2 linked regions of the Xenopus tropicalis genome follow. The protein of the gene in region 2 purifies or fractionates together with the protein of the main gene of each other region. This does not show direct contact. Links are inferred from orthologs where the notes say so. Each region holds a gene or a part of one and is shown on either strand. Other genes may lie near its edges.

What was found.
Region 1: the proteins of smad2 (region 2) and kat2b purify together in Homo sapiens (affinity purification with western blotting, with the first as the bait; 3 studies listed by BioGRID). This does not show direct contact. The link is inferred for Xenopus tropicalis from reciprocal best matches to the Homo sapiens genes SMAD2 and KAT2B.

Annotation. Positions count from the first base shown.
Region 1 is NC_030682.2:45,629,698-45,633,221, forward strand, and holds part of kat2b (histone acetyltransferase KAT2B), read left to right. Parts: intron 1-859; coding exon 860-949; intron 950-2,415; coding exon 2,416-2,597; intron 2,598-3,524. UniProt on the Homo sapiens protein: Functions as a histone acetyltransferase (HAT) to promote transcriptional activation. Has significant histone acetyltransferase activity with core histones (H3 and H4), and also with nucleosome core particles.
Region 2 is NC_030677.2:206,124,068-206,127,050, forward strand, and holds the end of smad2 (mothers against decapentaplegic homolog 2), read left to right. Parts: intron 1-164; coding exon 165-309; intron 310-885; coding exon 886-1,009; 3' UTR 1,010-2,480; downstream 2,481-2,983. UniProt on the Homo sapiens protein: Receptor-regulated SMAD (R-SMAD) that is an intracellular signal transducer and transcriptional modulator activated by TGF-beta (transforming growth factor) and activin type 1 receptor kinases.

The DNA.
Region 1 (3,524 bases), on a different chromosome or scaffold from region 2:
CCTCTTTATTACTTACATTAGACAAGCAGGTATGTTGGACACAGATGTCTAACCCTGTATTATGGGACTACTAAAAGGCAAATTTTCTGTTCAGGACATACACCATATTGTGGTGCACACAAATAATTTTGTACTAATTTTAGCCACCCACTTTTCCTCTTTTGTTTGCGGGTACATACCTCCCTACATTTGAAAAATGCAAAGAGGGACAACATTTTTGACCACGCCCATTTTTGCAACCACACCTCCTAAAATACCACTCCCATTTTACAAAATATAGCAGGTTATTTAAAGTTTGAACACATTTCTGGGGGTTTGGGGGTCTTGTTGTGTTTTGCAAAAAAAAACAAAAAACCTGTTTAGCTTATTAGTTACAATTGTATCTAAGTGCATGTGTAGCTTCTTAACTTTTCTGGGCTTTCTGCCAAAAGCTACTTTTTTAATTAAGTTTGAGAAAGATTGTATCTTTTTTAGCTTGAGGGACTTTTTAGAAAGAATCTGGGACTGCGGGCTAAGCTGTCAAAATTGGGACTGTCTTTTGAAAATCGGGACAGTTGGGAGGCATGGCCCGACTATAAGGAAATTGTGGGTAATGCTGGCTCTCATGTTAGGGTATGTCAGAATAAGTTCAGCTCAGTGCACCATGGGTAGTTTTTTCTAAACCACAACTGTTGTTAAATACTACAGCTCAATACAAAACAGTTGCCAACTTGTTTGGAAGTAAAAACAGGGAATGAAATTATAGCTGAAGAGAGCATTATTTTATAGTCATGTGTGGGTTTAGAGTTACATTTTATTCTATTGCTGAAATGTATCTTACCAACTAAGAATAAAGCATGTACATACTTCTTCTATTCAGCTTTTGAGGAAGTGTATCCTGCAAATGGTGAAACCTGCAGTGGAAGGATCATTGGGTTCCCCTCCATTTGAGAAGCCTAGTATTGAGCAGGTAATGGGGATCTGACATCTTTTCCTACCTACCTTAGTTTTTTAATGTATGTATATTTGTATTTCTTTTTGTACTTATCAAAGTTCCAGGCTGTTAATCAGTGTCTAATTGTTTATTCCTTAGAAAGTGGTGTTTTCTTAACAAGGCAACTTTTGGAAATCTTGGGCTGTAGAGGGATGTATATCACTGATATTATTTTTTAGTTATAAAATGTCCTTTTCATAGCAACTTTGGTCTTTATTATTATTTTTTTGTTATAGATTTTGAATTATTTGCCATTTTGTTCTCTATCTTTCCAGCTTTCAATGGGGGGGGGGGGGGGGGGGTGGGTCACTGACCCCGACAGCCAAAAAACTGTTGTTCTGTGAACTTACAATTTTATTATTTTTGTTACTTTTTATTACGTAATTTTCTATTCAGTCCCTCTCCAAAACATATTTCAGTCTCTCATTCAAATTGTCTGGTTGCTATGGTAAACAGGACCCTAGAAAACAGCTGCTAAATTCCAAATAACTGATAAACCAAAAGGAAACAAAATTAAAAAACAAGTGCAAATTATCTTATAATATCATGTCTACATCATACAAAAGTTAATTTAAAGGTGGACAACCCCTTTAGTGAGCAGTGACTACATTGGGAACACTCTTGTCCTTACATTACATATTCGTGTTTTTGGACCTTTTGCGATATAAACACATAACCAATGGCAAATCTGCAAAATCCTACATTATTCTCTTTTAGTAGATATAATAATGTGTGTTGCTTTAGAAGAAAAAATCCAAAATTTTCTGACAATGCTTTTTATGTCATTATAACCTTATTCTTCTAGAATGATAGTGGGAAGAATTCCTAGTTCTAGGTCACTAAAGTGTTTAAAGGGCAAATATAACTACCATCTCTCATTCATTTATTTTCTTTATAGTCAATTTAACCTAAGTGTGCTGACTGAGAACCCATTCTCTGCATTCTGCACCACACTATGAAGCTACCACATGCCATGCACAATAATTTAACAATGTACAGTAATGACCAGTTTTCAGTATTGGCTTATTAAAGCCTAAAGGTGGCCATACATGGGCCGATTTTAGGTGCTGATATCAGTCCTTTAGACCAATTTGGGGACCGAATTGGCTAGTTGATGCGCTTCCCGAACCAACGTCGCCTATGCCTGCCGTTTTAATTAATTGAATTACCCCGATATCGCCCACCTGTAGATCTTACAGTGTATGGCCACCTTTACTGGGGCATCAGTATCTGGATGGCAGCCTTAATTGTAGCCAAGCAGAACTGAGCTGATCAGCAGCAAGTAACAGAGTCTGTATTACAGAGCAAATTACTTTCTACACTGCTCACGTTTTTTTCAGGCAGGGGTCAAGAAAACAAAATCTGTGTTATCTTCTTTCTAGGTAGTCTGAAAACATGAAGACTATATTCACTGTGCATCTCTGTATTTACTTTCTTTAAAGGGTGTAAATAATTTTGTACAGTACAAGTTCAGCCATTTGCCTTCCAAAGAAAGACAGACTATCATAGAGCTGGCTAAAATGTTCCTGAATCGCATCAACTACTGGCATTTGGAAACTCCCTCCCAGCGAAGACTAAGGTCACCAAATGATGATATTGCTGGATATAAGGAGAACTATACAAGGTACACTCTTCTTAATGCAATAGTAATGGGTATCTATTGCTGTTGTGTTGCATGCAATCTCTATGATTTGTGGATGTGCATCGTTTGTCGGCTTTGTGAAACTGAAAGACTGCAACAGAAAATCTGAAGTGGTTTGAACTGGCTGCCTGAGTAAAAGACCAAATTATTATTTCATGTGACCTAATTGTGGATTGTTGCTTGCGGGGTGTTGCCATATTTATTAAAGTGGCAAGGCCAAGGGCTTACACTCTATACACAATATTTCAAGGCAAGTACTTCCCTCTATCAAGTTCTTATCTATTCTTGCTATTCTGGCTGTCTTATGCCACACTAAATGACTGAGCATAGAGCCCTGGACAGGTGAAGAGGAGTCACACAGCCTACACTTAACAACAGCTAGAACTGAAACAAAGAAATTGCTCTTTGTAATGAACAAATAGCATAGACCTGGTATAGGATTCTAATCTTTTGACTGAAAGTTTACTTGCTGGTAGGGCAATGGCTCATGGGGAGATTAGTTGCCTGCGGTTAATCTCGGCTACCGTGGGTGACTAATTTCCCTGAAATACCTTTCCACAGGCAATAAAGTAAAATTTCCTGCAAGAGGAAACTTTAAGCGACCTCAGAAAACAAAGCGATATGTATGCCTTCTCGCCGGCGATTCACTTTATATTTGGTGGGAAGGCATTTTAGGAAGATTAGTCGCCTGCAGTAGCTGAGATTTAACTGATCTAACTAATCTCCCCATGGTCCATCAGCCTTAGCTTTTTTATGCTTATTTATCAGTGCCTTAATTACAATAAAACTTGTATTAATTTATAGTAATCTCAATGACCATAGGGAGGGGGTGCAATAATGTTAAAGTTTTAAAGGTATAAAGGTATAAACTATTTTATATGTTAGAAAAATTGAACACGCACAATAAAA
Region 2 (2,983 bases):
CCAATAATTATGGGAAAAAGAGAGTACATTTTTATTCTATATCAAAATGCGCAGGGGGCAGTTCAATACCCCTCATGTTCACAGGAAGGTGTACTTCTGACCCCCTTTGGTTGGAATATTTTGAAATCGGAGTAATTGTGGCAATTCTACATTCTGTCTCACAGGATGCAATCTGAAGATTTTTAATAACCAAGAGTTTGCTGCTCTCCTCGCTCAGTCTGTGAATCAAGGCTTCGAAGCAGTTTATCAGTTAACTCGAATGTGCACCATAAGAATGAGCTTTGTAAAAGGCTGGGGTGCTGAATACAGGTAACTCTTCATTTATCAAGTGTATTTTTGGATGCATATTGATACACTATATGAGAAAATGCAGAGCAGAGACCTACTTACAGCTGCTGACCCAATCCTATCTGATCCCCCAATTGTAAGCAGCAGTCCTGCCCTGCTTTATGGCTGAGATTCTAGCTATCTGTATAACAGAGCATTCTGTCACAGTGGCACAGATCCTATCTGATCCCCCCATTGTAAGCAGCAGTCCTGCCCTGCTTTATGGCGGAGATTCTAGCTATCTGTATAACAGAGCATTCTGTCACAGTGGCACAGATCCTATCTGATCCCCCCATTGTAAGCAGCAGTCCTGCCCTGCTTTATGGCTGAGATTCTAGCTATCTGTATAACAGAGCATTCTGTCACAGTGGCACAGATCCTATCTGATCCCCCCCATTGTAAGCAGCAGTCCTGCCCTGCTTTATGGCTGAGATTCTAGCTATCTGTATAACAGAGCATTCTGTCACAGTGGCACATAATCAAGCATTACCATGCCTCATTGCTAATGTTTTCTGCCTTGTGTGCTCGTGCTTAACCCTCCTCTCTGTCTGTCTGTAGGCGGCAGACCGTTACAAGCACTCCATGTTGGATCGAGCTTCACCTGAACGGACCTTTGCAGTGGTTGGACAAAGTGTTGACACAGATGGGATCCCCTTCAGTGCGCTGCTCAAGCATGTCCTAATGGGCGCTTCTTTTATGTATTACCTGCGGGTGGCAACCGAAGTCCCAGCAACAGACTCAATACAGCTTGTCTGTCATAGTATTTGTGTGTGGTCCCCATGAACTGTTTACAATCCAAAAGAAAAAAAAACAAAAAAACAAAAACAAAAAGCGAAAACAGCACTTGAGGTCCCATCAACGTAAAGCACCTTGTCGGATTATGTTTCTGATACTCTTAAAGTAGCTGAAATATTAGTGTATAAATGACTCCTTACCAGGGACGGGACTCTTTTAAAAAAAAAAGGACATTTAACAGTGTATTATTGGGCAAAGAGTTGAGTGTCGGGATAAACAATAAACACAAGTAGTCCCTATGTACATGTCCTGTATATTGTTCTCCAGTTACTGTGCAGTTATGCCTTTTAGTTGCAGCAGATAGCGTGCCTGCTTCCCCTCATTTTACTCCTGTCACAATCAAAACACATTGCGTTTTGCCATTATTATTATTATTATTATTGCCCTCTTATATTTGTATTTTTTTTTTTCCTTTTTTGACTACTTGCTATTTTTATAAGTTGTTCTAATGAATCTGCTGTCGCTCCTCTCCCCTTGCGTATTTTCCAAAGCAGCCGCGAACATATCACCCCCGAATTGGCGTTCTCTGGTAAACCAACCGGTGATCGAGTAGCCGAACGTATTTTTATTCACCCCCCCCCCCCCCGGACCCAGCAGTCGTTCATGGTATTGGGTCGATCACGGTTTGTACCAGTTGGCAAGCCAAGCACCGGAGCCTTTGGGCTTGGAAGTGTAACCAGCAGAGGAGGGGTTATTTTTTTATTTTTAATTGTTTTTTTTTTAAGTGCATGTTATTGTAAACCCTTGGACACTACATTTGGACCCTATACAATATTTAGAATTCTATTCTATGGATGTCTGAGGATAGGGAAAGGGTTGGGCAGAGGCGGTTTAGAAAGGGTACTCTGGCTTTAATATGTACATCTTACTAACCATTTTGTTCTCTTGCTGTCTGTCAGATCTTTCTCGTTGGGGCAGTATTTGCCTTCTCTCTCCCCCTCTTACCCCCACAGCTATCCCCCTTTTTACACTAGTAGTGTACTTTGTGAGTACAGCTAGTGACTGCTCCTTGGCTTTCTGAACAAACCTCAATAAACCAATAAAACAAAAAACCAAAAGCGGCCAGTGTTAGGATGTCTCGTCATTCAGCGAAATCTCGGAGAGCGGGCATCTCTTTAATTGTATGCTGTATCGTTTAGAACATAGAGGCAGTTCCACAACTGTGTGTCGGAAAGGTAAGCAGTAGGCCAAACCATTGCAAAACAAAAAAAACGTAATTGGCAAAAGCATTTACCGTTTGTGAACTAGTTTTACCAGTAGGCTTGTGTATTGGTAGAACTTGTGAACTAAAGACATAAGCTTTGTGCGTGTTGCATTTGCCGAATATGTGAATACACTAATAAAAGATTTAATTCTCACTGTGGCGTCGCTTCTTTTGGCCTCTGTAGGACCCCCCCCATTTTGACTTATATTTTAGTATGATGTAGTGCAGTGATCCCCAACCAGTGGCTCAGGGGCAACATGTTGCTCCCCAACCCCTTGGGTGTTGCTCTCAGTGCCCCCAAACCAGGGAGTTATTTTTGAATTCCTGACTTGGGGGCAAGTTTTGGTTGAATAAAAACAAGATTTCCTACCAAATAAAGCCCCCTGTAAGCTGATAGGGTGCATAGAGGCCCCTAATAGCCAATCACAGCCCTTATTTGGCTCCTCCATGAACTTTTATGGTGCTTGTGTTGCTCCCCAAGTCTTTTTACATTTGATTGTGGCTCACGAGTAAGAAAGGTTGGGGACTCCTGATGTAGGGAGTAATATACTACGACAATTTGCAGTTGGTCTTCATGATTATTTGTGTTTTTTTTAATTACTTGTTCAGCAGCTCTCCAGTTTGGAATATCAGCAGTTGTCTGGTTGCTAGGGTTTA